2 linked regions of the Alligator mississippiensis genome follow. Each later gene encodes a partner of the first gene's protein in a complex. Links are inferred from orthologs where the notes say so. Each region holds a gene or a part of one and is shown in the gene's direction. Other genes may lie near its edges.

Region 1 (7,436 bases):
ACCTTCACCAGAATGTTAAGTTCACTAGTACCTGCATAACAATCTCTGAGCGCAGAGTAAACCTTGTTTTTTAAGAGCTGAACTCTAGTTTGTTCATATGCGACCCTGGAATGTTTTGTTGGCTAGCGATTTCCTGGTGGGCGCACAACTCATCTTGGCTTTTCTGTTATCTGAGAGGTTATTAAGGTTTGAGAAGAACCAGTTCTACAAGATTGCACCCTTCAGTATCCTGACTGAGCATAGTGCCTGACTGGTATAGACAATATTTGCTGGTTGTTGTGAAAAATGTCTTTGCTTTTTATTGGATGTATGTTTGTCAAGAGTAGGAATCGTGCATTGCATGCTCATTTTAACACCTCTTTAAATATCACCAATAAAAATAAATCTTAAATGGCACAATTGTATCTTCTTTTCTATTTTAGGTTCAATTTTATTTACAACTGAATTCCATTCTATCTGAAGAGTGTGGTAGAAGAAGCCGTCTCTGTGAGCACAGCTTTAAGATGTAGAGGAAAGAATACATGTGATGCAAGGATTTTTTTTATGTCTCTCTCTCTTTTCTTTCCCCCCCTGCTCTCCTCCCCTTTTTGCCCTCTCCCCTACCCACCTTTAATGTCACAACATTTTCTATTGTAAGAACAGAAGTGAATCTCGACTGTTTAGATAGTGGGATGGCAAATGTAATTCAGTGTTTTAATCCATTTTCATTGTAATATTCACCTGACTTTTTTTTTCTACAACATTAAACAAAAATGGATACGTCTCATTTGTTTAAGATGTCTTCCTGAAGGTGGGTGGGAGACTTAAATCTCTTGCTTTCTTGGCACAGGTTGAGAACAAGGGTAAATCTGGTTCTGCCAACCAATAAATCCCCACAAATGTTGGAGGGAGGGATGATCTTTCATGTTAACTATGCATTGCATCTTGCAGAGAGTCTGACAACTAAGGCTAGAATTCTGGATTGAGGTCTGAATGACTTAAAAACAATAACCCAGCAATTCATTTGTTTTGTAAGCGCAAATACTGAGTGGCAATGTGGACCAATGCAGAAAGCATTATCAATAAACTGGTGGAGTGACTGGACTGCTCATTACCAGGGATCTGGGTTTTCCGTTACCCGTGGAAAAATGGAGAAAAACGTGGATTTTTCTCCTTTACTCAAGAAAACTGTGGATTTCTCATTTTAAAGGAGAAACATGTAGATTTTGCACTTTTGCAAAGAGCTTTTTGCAGGCTGGCAGAGTTCCAGCCTGCAAGGGGCTGGGGTGGGGAGCAGGAGGAGGATGGTCAGGCAGGGGCCTCCATGTGCATGTATATGCACATGCCTGCCAGGCAGCCAGGACAGCAGCTCCTGCAGGTAAGTTTGGGTGGGGAGAGAGGGATTGAGGCCCCCATAGGGAGGGGGGCAGTGAGTTGGACAGGGCTGGGGCTGCTGCCTAGCCAGGTGGTATGTGGGGCCTGGGGCTGGAATGTGTGGCTGCAGGGCCTCAGCAGAGAGTGTGACCTGGGCTACAGGTGGCTCCTCCAGGGGGTGGGGGCGGTGGGGCTGGCTCCTTGCTGCTGCTTGTACTCCCAGGTTGGGCCTGTGTCCTGCTGATCTGTGCATATGGCAGGGGCGGGCTGCCTGCTGTGGGCTTTGGCTCCCCACTCTGCTGCCCTCCTCCTGGGGTTTCTGCAGCCCAGCAGGTGGGACCCAGTGGCAGGGCAGACTGGGGAAGCTCCTTGCTGCTGTGAGCCCCGGGTTCTGGTGAGGCATCCCCTGCCCGTTCAGCAGCAACAGGGACAGCAGCATGGGGTTGTAACCCCTCGCTGCTGCGGGGCGGTCAGAGGGCATGTCGCCAGGGCAGCATGGTGCTCACAGCGTGAAGGAGCTTCCCCATCCGGCCCTGCTTTGCCCTGCCATGCTGGGTCCCACCCCCTGGGCTGCAGAGGCCCCAGGGGAGGCAGCAGGGTGGGGATCTGAGCCTGTAGCAGGCAGCCTGCACCTGCCCCCTCATGGGCTCTGCTCCAGCCCCACTGCCTGCTGTGGGGAGGGGGAGCCAGGCTCTGCTATGCTGCGGCAGCTGGGGCTCAGGCACTGCTGTGGGGGATAGAGGGCTGTGGACCCAGGTCCCTTGGTCTAGCCCAGGCAGCTGGGGGCTCCCTCCAGCAGGGCTGGGGGGGCAGGAAGCTGTGGGGAGGAGTGATGGGCACCAGCAGGGCCCAGGTGACAGGGAGTGGGGCAGGGAGTGAGAGACACTGGCAAGGGGGCTGTGGGTGGGGAGTGAGGCCTGGACCTGTGTTCTGTGAGTTAAGGGGACAGGGGGAGCTCTGATTTTTTTCCATAATAAAAGATCCCAAATCGAATTCTAAATACCTATAAATTTTTGTATTTATCTTATTATAGTGATTGAAACATTGGTAGGCTTCCAATTTGCTTTAAAATTGTAAATATATCAATTAAACATTGTGTTCATCAGAGAATTTGTGACTTTTTTTTTTTTCTTTTTTTTAATTGGAAAACCAGGATCTGGGCTCATTACAGATCTCTGTAGATGTTGACCCAAAACTTTTAATACAAATGTCTTATATTAAATAATTTCTGCAGTCCAGGTATAATACAGAAATGCTCTAAAAAGCCCTAAAGAAGACTCTTTGATCTAGGAGGCCATGGCTATAGAACTGAATCTGGGTTAAGCCAGTACATTTAAGAAGTGTGCACACTTGTTACCTGGGACCCATTGCCTTATTGTACAGAACTCCTTTAGTTGTTTATTTGTTCTCTCACAATGGAGCATTCAGATTTGGAGATGTTTCCTCAACACATCTCCATCTATTGCAAGTATTAAACACATTAGAACTAGGGTTTGTTTTTTTTGTAGGGGTGCACTGATAAAGGATTTTCTTGGCTGATACTGATAGCCCACTAACCGGCCATATTGGCCGATACTGATTGGGGTGTCAAACTCATCTGGCCTCAGGCTGGATCAGGGTTGCTGGGCTGGTCTGCAGGCTGGATCAGGCCATGCTGGACCCAGTGGGCAGGGCCAGTCTGGTGGGATGCTGTACACAGTGTGCAGCTGGTCCAGCCCCATGGGCAGCATATGCTGGCTCCACTCTGGGGCTTCCTCTGCATGTGGCGCCTGGGGCTGGCACTGGGGATGCGCTGTATGGGGTGCTCTGTTGGATTAGCTCTGCATGCTGGTTCTGGGGCTGGCCCGGATGTCTGTGCACACGCACACTGGAATGATTTAGGGCTAGTCTGGAACCTGCCCATTCAGCATGCATTGTCGAGGGTGTGCAAAGTGCGCTCTGAAATGGGGCCAGCGTGTGCTGCACGTGGCATGTGGGGATAGACCAGCTGCACACATTGCATGTAGTACAGGAGCCTGGCATGGTGCACGTGCTGCAAGCAGTGTCCTGCTGGCCAAGCTCTGGTGTGGCTCCATGATTATTTCTTATGGGTAATCAGACATCACAATATGAAGTGCTGAAAAGTATACGGCAAATATTAAAAAAGCAAGAAATAAATGTATAGTACTGTTACATTTTAAAATTGCCAAGTACTAGTAAGTAAGGACAAAACCCAAGTGTGGGCTAATGGTTTTGTTAATATAAAACTTGGTTAACTGACTTGCTGGGTAACTTACTGTGCATGAGTCTGACAGCAACTCAGGGTGTAGGATACTGTTTTTTCCTGAAATGCAGTTGGCTCCTGCTGCTTTCAGAGGTCTCCTTACTGTCGGTAGAAATGGCCCCAAATACCCAGAGTATCCTAGACCTGAGTTCCTATTCCCACAAGCCCCCTCCCCAGCCCTTCTTGAAGCCACTTCATGCTTTTGACCTATAACAATATCCAAGTTGTCCGGGGACGGCTGTTGCCTCCCCTCCATCGTATAATCCTCTCCGAGGCTCAGACGAGCCGCCGGATTGCTGTGAGACTAAGGGAAGAGCTTTGTGAGAGCTGCCGAGCAGGCGCTTTCCCGGGCAGCGCCGAGTTACAGGAGGCGAGGTGGAGGGAGGCTTAGGGAAAAAAGTTTTTACAGCGGCAGGGTCTGGTCCTCGCTGGGCCGGGCAGCCCGGAGCCAGCTGAAAGGCCCGGCTCGCAGAGGGAGATCTCCCGGAGATCAGCCGGGCTCGGCCTTGGCCTCCCAATGTCCGCTCTGTCTGCGCCGGCCTCAGCCGCTTCGCCGCCCAGCCCAGCTCCGCCCCTCGGGCCGATGGCCCCGCCCCCCGGCCGCGGCGGCGCTCGGGAGCGGGGACCGCGCAGGCCGCTGGGAGGTGGCGGGGCCTAGCTGGGCTCAGACGCGATCGCTATGCCGCTGTTGTTCCTGGAGCGTTTCCCCTGGCCCAGCCTGCGCACGTACGCGGGGCTCAGCGCCCTGGCGCTGCTCGGCTGCGTCCTCAGCGCCTACCGCGCCCTCAGCCAGGCCCCTGCCGCCTGGCCTGGGCCCGAGCCCCAGCCCCAACCTGAGCCACAGCCCAGCCCGAGCCGTGCCGGGCCGCTGCCGCTGGACGTCGCCTACTATCTGCTGTCAGACAGCCTTTGCGTCTGGGTGAGCACGGACACCGGCGGCTGCACAGGCCCCTGGGCCCGGGGGGCTTCTGTCTGGGCAAGAGGGGCGGAGGCTGGGGCCGGCCGCTTCAGCAGGGGGCGCAGGGCTGGGCTGGGCCTTTGCTGCTCGTGTGGGAGCCGGGAGCAGGGCTGCCCCGTTCCCACCAGCGCGGGCAGGTTTGCCTCAGGCCTGCACAGGCCCTGGGAGACCTCAGCCCTGCTGCCCTTGCAGGCCTGCGTGAAGGCTGCCCAGACTGGCCACAGGGTTGTTCCCTGCTTTCAGGGAGCCAGGGGGTGCCTCTGCCTGCAGGGACTTTGTGTGTTGTGAGGATTACTTTGCACCTGTGGCTGGTCTGAATTTATTGCGCGGTTCACCAATGGATTCATGGCATATGTAAGGCAGGGGGTCCCTGCCAAGCATTGCATCAATCATGCAATTCATTGGTTAAATTGCACAATCATTGCAGATTGATCTCACTTGTAAAGTAATTCTCACACCATACAAATGTTCCCCCACCTAGAAAGACCCCACCAGCTCCCAAGGGAGTGCTTGAAAATGTGTAACCCTACAGTTGGTTTCTGTCCAGTTTTCATAAGAAGGTGCGGCAAGGCCTTGAAGGCAGCTTGGTACCTACCTGTGGGGGGGTTCAGAGGAATGTTTGAGGCCTTTGCTTTTCAGAAATAGGTTCTTGTATAGGTATGGGCTGAGCATCTCCTAGGACATCCCCAAAACACGACTAGGGTGGAGCTGGGGATAAGCAATTTGTTCTAAATGAATGTTCAGATTGGGGTCTGTATCACAGGGTCACAGATGACCAGTCCTCAAACATTTCAAGTGATATTTGTAGTAAAGTAATACAAGTTCTTCTATGGGTGATCCAATGTACACAGTTTTTACTGTCTAGGAAACCGTTCTGGTGGAGGGAAGGAACAATGTTGGCAACTTGTGAAAGGCAGGGGTGACTCCTTTGTGGTCTCTGGGGTTGGTGGGGTGAGGCACTTTAATTAGAGTGGCTCTCGGGAGCTGCTCTAATAAAAATACTTCCAATGTCTCGTGTATTCAGTGTCCCGTGCTTCAACGTGGCAGCGAGGATGCTTTAACTAAAACACGTTTGACAAGCTTTAGTTAAAGCACTGCTGTTTTGAAATGCAGAGACCCTGAATACACATGACACTTAGGCTGCTGGGGTGTTCTAATTGGAGCACTCCAGCAGACTTGGTGTCACATATATGCAGCTTCCCTGTGTTTCAAAATGGCAATGGGGCACTTTAACTAAAGCTCAAGTGAGCAGAATCAATTTGATAATCAAGTCTGCTACAATGCATTCTAATTAGAGCATGTTGGAGCAGGCTTTGGGCATGTGTGTAGGTGCCCTCAGGGAAAGGAAAGTAAAAGGCAAGGGAAAGGATAAGGATCCTCTGACAGGGCAAGACTTACGTTGCATTAGTATAAATGAACCAGATTTAGAAAAAACAACCCCAAAATGGTCATTTTCCTTGAGTCCACTAAAATAGTAATATTTGAACTGGCTTCCGTATTTAATGTTCATTTGTACTAGAGACTCAAATGTAGTGTACCTTTGTAATTAGCTTGTTAAATTGTCTTCCTCTTAGGTGACATAATTTTAGAATGTCATTATTTAAAATAATAGGGATTCTGTGAACTCAAAACATAATGGTCATGGTGCCTGTAACACTTTGGGATTAGGCAGAAGGCTACTCAGAATATTAAACATGCTACTCTGTAGGAAGTATTTGTAAGTGAGTCCTGTGTTTGAAACCACATTGTAAAAGTTGTGAAAACAAGGTCTTACAAAATCTAACACCAATAGAAATGTTTACACAAATAGTGCAAGTGATCAATTATAACCCTTGTAGTATTTCTTTGTAAAAATGTCATGACATGCAATTCCTGTGTGTTTAATGTGCTGGGGTTTTGTTCTATAGTTGCCTAAATAATTTTTTTTTTAAAGTAAATCCTCTGTTGTGTTTCACATCAAAACATGCAATCTTATTACCTGCAAGTGGAAATAACAGTTATTGGGTGAAACTTACTTTATTTATTTTAATGATCTCATGAAATGCAAACTCAACAAAGAACGTGATACTTCAATTAGATTATTTTTTTTTCATGTTTGATAATGTAATATAAATATAATAATAGAATATAAAAACCCAGGGTATGTTTATTTACAATATATGATTTTTAAGTTCGTTATGGATAATTTTACCAAAGTACCCAAGGGGCTGAGCCTCCTGAGTCCGATTTTTGAAATGGGGCTTCATCTGTTTAAGAGTCCTTCAAAAATTTACAATGTCCCTTGAAAGTGCATTTTGCTGGAATATAATCTCTTGTCACATTTTTCCTCATGTATTTTGATGTGCATAATTCAAAAGGTTTTGCTCATCAAAAGTATGAGATAAGTTTAAACAATTCAGCATTTTCTGTTTTTGATGGCTTTAGTTTAAAATGACTGCCAAGAGCTGTAATCCAAGAGAGAATTGATGCAGTTGCAGAAAGTATATAACTTATTGATTAGATTTTGAGACCTGATATGAATGATGTCCTTGTAATATGTTGAAACTGGAATTTTCTAACTTTGTATTAAGCAATCTAACAGTGAAGGTAGACTGCAAGAACTAAGAAACCTTAGCAGCGGGAAACGTAGAGATTAATTCTGTAGTTACTTTAAGAAATAACAAACCTGTAGTGAGGTGAATGTGTTTTGGCTTTGGACATACACAAACTGTCTCAGCTACTGTAAAGTGGCTTTTGGAAAATTCAAAACTTTAATTTGGGTGGGGTTGAGTGTAGGGGGGGAGGGGAAGGGCTTCAGTTTTAGAGCCCAGTGATGGAGATTCTTTGTAAAGCATCCTGACAACTTAAGTTTGGCTCCAAATT
Region 2 (8,055 bases), on another chromosome or scaffold:
CAGCCAGGTACAGCACCTAGCACCCGAAAGAAATTTGCATGGTATATTCTGGTAGAAATGTTCCTCAGCACAGTATCTGCTTTTGTGTTTTCTGCTCAGTGCTTCATATGCCTCACTTCATTGTGCCATATATCTTCAGAAAAAGAGCTTATAGTGCTAAGGGTGGTGGGCATTTGGCTCTTTAGAAGAAAAAATAGTCTTTAATATGCTTAAAATGGGCCTGCCCTGCAGTGGTTTCTCTTTTCTCCTCCTTCACTCTGAACTGGTTGGCCTCTTAGTTGGCTTGTCACAGAAAAGGAAGGAAAGGCTCACCCTGCCCCTTTTGGAGAGGAAGGGGAAAGCTCTCCCTCTAGACTTCCCTAAGAAGCACCCTTATTTGGTTTCCCTTTCTTCAGAAGATGCCCTGCAGCCAGCCCCAGCATGGCTGCAGGAGGGGCAGCCTCTGGCTGTGGCTCTTTTTAGTCCCTGGCTTCCCCAGTGATCTGTAGCACCCTCATGGGAGCTCCTTTTCAATCAGCTCCTGGGGAAGGAGTGGGGGGTGGTATTTTCTTCTTTAGAAGACAGTTATCAGAGTGATGATGTCTCAAGCAGCACAGCAGGCTGCTTCAAAACAACCAGTCTTTATTGTGTCATTCCAGTTCCCTCTGTCCTCATTCAGACTTTACTTTGTCTTCCTTGGGACTTTCTGTCCACACTGGCACCTTCTGCTGTTCCCCAGCTCTCTTGGAGCTTCTCTCATTCTCCTCAAGCCCAGTCAGCCAAATTTGCAACCAAACTGTAACAAAACTATAGTCTTAACCTGGGGACAACAACTCACCCAGTACAGTGAAACATGCTACGAGTAACTGGTGAAAGAGCAATCTCTGGCCTGTTGTCAGGCCTAGACTGCCATCTGCCCCTGAGGTGAAACAGGGGCATCTAGACCTCCTACACAGAGAATTATTTACAAGTACTATTTACAGGAAAACCTGCCCACATTAAGCACCCCAAAGTGCTCCCCACTGGATGGGCAGGCTAGAATCCAGCTCACCTAGCTTCCTTCATCATATGGCCGAAGCAGGGAATTTACCCTGCAGCTTCCACCGTTGAGAGCTGCAGGAGAATACAAAACATGGTAATGAGAAGAGGGAGCTTGTTTTTTCCTCTTCCCTGAGAAAATACTGCTCACTGCTGGGATAGTTAGGTTTCCTTTCCATCCCCATCTCCAATGCTTTTTTTCAGGCTTATTGACTATGGTTAAGGTTCCACCCACCTGTGCTCCTGTCTTAAATCCACAAACTAGATTACATCTCTGAAGCTTCTGTCTGCATGTGTACAGTAACCAAAAAAAAATCACTGAAAGTTTTTAGTGAGATCTTAGGCTGTTTTTGGCTAACCATCAGCTTCACACACTACAAAGGAACTAGAGGGGGGGGGAAATTTTCTCAATCAAAAAGCAAGGACAGGAAAGGCGTGGACAGACATAAAACATTTCAAATACCTCTGAAATATTTCAAATGACCAGATCCAAAAGTGGCTGAAAAGCTTCAAAAGTAGCTCTTTATATAAGGTACTGTTTTGGAGCATTTCATTTTTTGGTTCTGGTTTCATAGAGAAGGGAGGGAGAATGGGTAGTCATTCTGCCAGCCAGCTATCCACTAGCCCTACTCCAGGTCAGGGTTGTGCTGGGTCTCTGTTGGGACCCCCATCTCTCCCAGAGCCAGGCACGCTCACCCCGACTTGGGGAGGGAGGTGTTGCCCAGAGCTGGACTCTGGCCCCAGTCCCCTCTACACCTACTCTGCTGAGGGGGGGAAGGGAGAGCTGAAGGGTACCTACAGCTAAGTGAGACTTTCTTTGATGGGACCAGGAAGCCCCCACTTACTTCTCTTCAGCTCATCTCTGTCCTCTACCTGTTTTCCTTTGAGGAGTGGGGGAGCCAAGAGTAGAGGTAAGCAATAGGCCGCTGCAGTGTTTTGAAACATTCCTGTTGGGAACTGCACAGGCTTAAATGTTTCGTTTGTGAAACATTTCCAAACACGTTTCAGTTGCTATGTCTGCACCCAAAGCAAGTCAGACTGAAAGCAGAAGCTAGATTAAGTTAGAAAACCCATGTTTTTCAAAATTGGTTAGCCATTGATGCAAGTAACCAAAGGTGGGCATGGATTCTACAGCACTCAACTCCTTTATGACTAATTCAACTGCTGGTTGCTGAGCTGGAAACAAGTACTAGAGTGAAATTCTGGGTGCTGTATTTCAAGGAAAGCAGATATGGCACAGTTTGGCCACCCCTGCTCTAAAGAGGCACAGGCAGCTTTTGTGCGTGCCACATGGCAGACTTAGGAAGAGACAAGCAGCACAGTGGCAGATAGGGCAGGGAGCAGAAAACAGAGCAGCAGATGGGGCAAAGAGCACAGGCCAGGAAGTAGAAAGCGAAGCAGCAAATCATGCAGTGAGCAGAAAGCAGGAAGTGGGGGGGGACACTCAGGAAGGGTGTGGGCCTAGTTTGTGGTGGACCTGCCAAAAAGATTGACCCCCACTGGATTAGAGTATTTTATCAGTCCTGTAAATAAATGGGATACTACATCTGCTCATGCATGGAATCACAGGTTTGCCCTTACACAGATGCAGGATTTGCTGGCTCCAAACCATCCCAGACAGATGCCTCATGGTGTGAGCTGTTTTGTTCCTGAGTATTTTCGGCCATTTTGACTGCTGCTGCTGCAACCTATCATTGCAATTAGTGTCTGCCTAAGCAGTTTGGAATCCTTTGGGTGGAAGATGCTTTGGAAATGTGAGCTACTGTTAGAAATACTGTTAAAAAAAGGCTGTGAAACTTCTCTCGGTTTATCAGTACTCAAAACTGCATCAGCAAAGGAGTAAAAAAAGGGGGTCTCAGTTGTGAAGAAACTGCAGGAGCAAAACCTAGAATTGCAGAGCAAATAAAAGTGATACAAGTTTGCCAAGTGATACACCTTCACACCTCAGTGCCTCACAGCAAACTGCTGTTGTCACCCCTGAATGTTCCAGGCCTAAAAGGTGCAAAAATTAGTGTTGCTACAGTTGCCAAAAGTAAAATACCTCCCCTGCCTCACCTGTGGATAAGATGTGGAAGTACTGTAATTTGAGACACTGCTTCCATGTAACTGGAGATTCTGTGGCTTTTCTCTTGATTGGCTCTTAAGTGTCCCCTTCTTGGTAGTTTGTCAGGATCTGGGGTTGAATTCTGCTGTGGTGCACAGAGCCACCAGCTGTAACTATGACCTTGTGGCCATGGACATGGCTCCCCTGCCAGGCTCAGGTGGTATCCCAGTCCCCTCTAACAGCGTGACTCCCTTCCAGTGTCTGACACCTTAACTTTACCCACCTGCCTTGTGACACTTGCCTTGCACAGACCCCTGTGCTTTGGGCTCCCTCACACCATGTCTGTTATTCAGAACTAGGAGCAAACAAGTTGTGAAAGTGATGAGCTCCATGCTGAGCCTCAGTACAGAGGGCTTTTGGGAAAGAGAATCAGTCCAGCTTTTCTCTTGGCTGTAGGCTCTTCCCTGCATTCTCATTGTGGTCCATCCACGTACGTTCTTACTGCAGCTGCTTCACTTGTATGCTCCTTTCATACTTCTGCCCTCCCCAGCCCATGAATAACCACCTCTCTCCCCTCCCCAGTTAAGTGCACATACACCAAAACGAACTGGAACCAAATGTAAGCAGGGAAATGCATGCCTCCTTTGGCTTAGGCCTCGTCTGCATGTACGTGTTGCTGCTGCCAAATACTGTCTGCTTGCAACACTGCCGAGAAAACATTCACGTGGTTCCCATGCGCATGCTGTGCTGCTACAGCATAAAGTGGCCCGCAGGAAGGCACCAGCAGCTGAAGGGACTGTGGCAGTCAGAAGTCATGGCCCTGTCTACCTATGCCTTCCATTGAAGGTGGGCTGCAGTAAAGCTCAGAGAAGTGGAAAAGCAGGGTTGAATTTAGATGCTCTTGAAGTTTTTCCAGCAGACCAGGCCTTAGCTATCTTTACTGCCATCACCTGAGGCTGGCATTAGCTGGATACCACCACATGGGCAGGGCTTACAGAAGAAGGATTTGAGTGGAATTGCCATCTTTCATCAGGGCAACAGGAGGAGAGGTTTGAGGTGGCATATATTTTTTTGTCATCTCAAAGTTTGTTACTGACAAGAAAGTGCATCTCCCTGACTAAAACCTAGCTCAAAGAATCCGGTCAAAGCAAATGACTGATGTGGTCACTTACAATTTTTTTTTTAATGCTCTTCCTCCCCTTTTCCTTATCCTTTGTATATAGATTACTGTATTCCAGGGGTGTTGAACTCTTCCGGCCCCATGGGCTGAATGAAGGGCATGGGGTTGCTCTGCAAGCTGCATCAGGCCCACAGACTGGCCCCAGGCACTAGAGCCAGTGTACGGACACCTCACAGTGCTCCCTCCAGCCCACCCCGTGCTTCCTGCAATGCCCGTGGCACCGGGTCCAGCTCCAGCCGCTGCACGCACAGCATCAGACCGGCTCCGTGCCTCGGGCCAGCACTGACTGGCCCATGCCACACGAGGCGCACGAGGTCGGGTCCGTCCCGGGGGCAGTCTGGATCTTTGACACCCCTGCTCTATTCCTTTCTGTGTAGTACTGTCTGCAGGGCCACACGCAGCACCTGGCAGGCTGCTGCCTAGCGAGCCAGTCTGTCACAGCCCTTCTCAACCTCTTAGGCCCCCTTGGAAAATCCCGGTGCTGAGCATCCACTCGTGTCTTGAGACCACAGCAACCGGGCTCTTGCAAACCGCTGGGAAACCCCACCGGCCCCGCCCCTGGCCGCAGGCACTGACATCACAGCGCCTCAGGCCAGCACCCCACCGCCCCTCCCACCCCGCGTCCGGCGGACTGCCATAGAGACGGGTGGCTCGCGCGGCGGCCTGGCTAGCTACCGCCGCGCGCGCTCTCTATGGCGGTCGGCTGAACCCGGAAGCGCTGAGGCGGCCGGCTCGGCCCCCTGCGGCGGCGGGGTCGCGGGTGGTCATGGCGGGCACGGCGCTGAAGCGGCTCATGGCCGAGTACAAGCGTGAGTGAGCGGCGGGTGCGGGCGGTACCCCGGGGGGTCTTGGGCCCCGAGGCCTTCAGCCTACCTATTTCTGGCAGACGCGCGCCCCTCGCTTCTCGCCTCCCGCAGCCTTACCGTATTTCTCGGCGACGTGTGGGCGTGGCTTCCCCAGGCGGTGGTGGGGCGGGGGAAGCACGGTGAAAGGGGCTTCCCTGCGGGCTGTCACCCCCCATCCCCTCGGGCGTGGGGCGCCCGCAGCACCCGGCTGCTGTCCACGTCGTTGTGGCTGCCCGGGAGGCGAGGTCCAAACCCAGGCCCACGTAGGCCCTGCGCAACCCGTGGACCTCGCCAGGGCATTTCTGGAGAGTGGAGCTGGGCACCGGGCCGTTTGGCCTCAGCAGTGGAGGCCTGACGGCTGGCATCGGCGAGGAGCGCTGCCTGCGGCAACAAGAAACGTGCATCGTCCCCGCCACCCCCAGCCAGCCGGCCGGCCGCAACCTAGAGTCACTGCTGGGGAGACATCATTGCTCAGGGCAGGGTCCCGCTTGCTGTCCAAGCAGCGCTGCTGTTAAAGAAAACCGAGAGCCGCAAAGCCAAGTGCAAGTGAGATCAGCGCAGTTTTGGACCAAGACTTCAAAACGTTCATCACCCCCTGCCCTCCTTTGAAAGCAGCCAGAGAGGGAGACAGTACCGGCAGGCAGTGCAGGCATCCCAGCAGAGGAAGCCTCCCCCCAGGTTGCTTTGCTTCACCCTGCCCTCACGGCTGCTTTGTTGCTCCCAGCCACAATGCATAAAAGTGCTGTGTCGATCCCACCATTGGCAGGTCTCTAAATGCATGTCTGAATAAAGCCAGGCTGATGCAGATGGCCCGCAGAGACGTTGCTCTGTGTTTTTTCTTGTTTCTAAGTTGGGACAGCAGGCTCGACCTGCATGGCTTGCAATATATGTTGTTGCTGGGCCTGTGGTATTCCCGTTCTTAATTTTCTTAGTTATATGTGACATGGAAAAGGAAAGGACCCTTTCCTCAAAGGAGAAAAGGTCACTTGCTGCAGCTGTTGGATAGATGTTGGACAGAAGGCAGGGGAGATAAGCACCTTTAATATACTAACTCACTGCTGCTCAACCTCTGTGGCTGATGGGCCAGATGGGCAGTGGATGGTCTATGGTCCTGATCTGGTACCTGGGGCAGTTGCAGTGGGAACCCATCTGGCTCTGCAGAGCGGGAGAAGGGTACTTGGCACCTGATGTTGCTGCAGGGAGGAGGGGACATGGCCCAACCCTGATCCAGCAGCCAAGGAGAAAGGAGCAGTGTGGCCTGGCCCCAACCTGCTGCATGGTGCTTGGGGTTTAGGAATTTGGCAGTGAGGAAGGGTGGCCATATTAACTGCCACTGTTCCCCCGCTGCCAAATTTTCCAACCCCTGGCAAGCCCCACGGGCCACATTTGGCTTGTGGGCTGCAGGTTGAGCACCCCAGACTAATTAAACAAGATCTATAGAGAGAGAGAGCAAAGCTTTTGTGAACTAAAGTTCACTTCCTCAAATGACAGCATCTGATGAAGTAAACTTTGGTTCACAAAAGCTTGTGCTGCATGTGCATCTATCTTGTTGAGTTAGTCTATAAAGGTGCATTTCTACCCTGTGTTCTGAGTGACTGCAGACTAACAGCGAGCTACCTCTTTCTGCTTATATATGGTGGAGTTACAGGTCTTCTGATTGTTGAGTACATGCTCATTTTCCTAAACCTGTGGTTCTCAACAGTTTTGGATTCAAGGGACTCCTTGTTAGATTTCAGGCATAGCTTTCGTGAATTGAGCAGCACCCCATTTAAAAAAACTAATGTATTACAGTACTTACCTCTTGGCAGTGATGGGCAGGGCAGCAGCAAGGCAGAGAGGAGCACTGAGGGTGTCCTGACGCTCTGGTTGAGAATTGCTGTACCGTGACGAAATGAGTATGATAAATAGAAGTATCACTGCTTCCAGAATGAGCCAGTAAGCAGCTTCAGGACCTGTTCTTCAGTAAAACAAAGAAACCTTGGCAGTGTCTTGCTTGGTCCAGATAGGAAATACTTAGATAATTGGGAGGTTGATGCCATTTGGTCGCATCAATCCATTTAATTTCTTGTGAATAACTATACCCGAGATGGGATGCAGGAATTTATATAGGCCCTTGTGTGTTTTCACAGTGTGTGTGAAGATTGATAGGGCATGAAGAGTAAGCTATTTGTGCAACTGCACATTAGCAGCAGGTTAACAGCAAGGTATGCTGCAACTTCTTTTGATGCTCTTGACAGTCCTACAAATGAAAGTTCTCTATCACCTTTCAGAAGCGCAGATTTAAAAAAAAAATTACCATCTGCTTGCAATTGGAAGTCTCAACAGTTTTTTTTTGTTTTTGTTTTTGTTTTTTTTTTTAAAGGAAACATTCCCAGTTGAAAGGACATAGCAAATTTCTGTTGGACAAAGCTGCTGATCCTGGTTTTAGTTGTTTGCCTAAATGCTCTGTTCTTGAAACGGTGGGCTTAGTAATCTTAAAAATTGAGCAGAACAACAATAATAATATTGAGCAGAACAACAATACTGCCAGGCATTATATGAATTCCACAGCTCTGCAGCAGGTCCTGATTGGATTGTAGTAGCATCATCTCCTGTTCTAGTTCTGGGTTTCCCTTGAGATGAAACTGGCAAACTATAATAGAATGTAGTCTTCTGAACAGTTAACATCATTGGCAATATTAATATACCATGGAGTAATGTTACCTCTGGAGACTCCAGCTGGAAAGTTTGGTATGCTGAATCTCAGCTTTCATGTCTCTCTGGAATATCCTCCATTCTAAAAGGCATGGAGTTCTTTGCTTACTGTAGTCAAAACCATGTGTCTGTGAAGATAAGTATTTATAGGTAAATTATAAACTGTCTGATGCGTTTTCTCCATCAGGGAGACATAATTGTACTAATAGGCTGTCTCTTACATGTTTGTTACCAAAAGCAGAAACAAATCTAAATCCTAATTTCTCTTCCTTTCT

The links. The genes of interacting proteins can lie anywhere in the genome.
Region 2: the proteins of AMFR (region 1) and UBE2G2 are in contact, whole or in part, in an NMR structure (PDB 2LXP), measured with the Homo sapiens proteins. The link is inferred for Alligator mississippiensis from reciprocal best matches to the Homo sapiens genes AMFR and UBE2G2. Residues at the interface, in NP_001135.3 of Homo sapiens: Ser574, Ala575, Arg578, Gln579, Met581, Leu582, Arg585, Lys586, Leu589, Leu590, Ala593, Arg594, Arg596, Phe597, Leu598, Lys600; in NP_003334.2 of Homo sapiens: Tyr13, Leu16, Thr17, Pro20, Gly23, Ile24, Val25, Ala26, Gly27, Pro28, Met29, Asn30, Glu31, Glu38, Leu40, Met42, Glu45, Glu50, Phe51, Val53, Val159, Gln160, Leu163, Gly164, Leu165.

The regions. Positions count from the first base shown.
Region 1 is NC_081833.1:41,615,952-41,623,387, forward strand, and holds the start of AMFR (E3 ubiquitin-protein ligase AMFR), read left to right. Parts: upstream 1-4,226; 5' UTR 4,227-4,295; coding exon 4,296-4,535; intron 4,536-7,436. Other genes in the region: NUDT21 (cleavage and polyadenylation specificity factor subunit 5), read left to right, coding at 423-444. UniProt on the Homo sapiens protein: E3 ubiquitin-protein ligase that mediates the polyubiquitination of lysine and cysteine residues on target proteins, such as CD3D, CYP3A4, CFTR, INSIG1, SOAT2/ACAT2 and APOB for proteasomal degradation.
Region 2 is NC_081830.1:33,419,895-33,427,949, reverse strand, and holds the start of UBE2G2 (ubiquitin-conjugating enzyme E2 G2), read left to right. Parts: upstream 1-4,931; 5' UTR 4,932-5,007; coding exon 5,008-5,050; intron 5,051-8,055. UniProt on the Homo sapiens protein: Accepts ubiquitin from the E1 complex and catalyzes its covalent attachment to other proteins. In vitro catalyzes 'Lys-48'-linked polyubiquitination. Involved in endoplasmic reticulum-associated degradation (ERAD).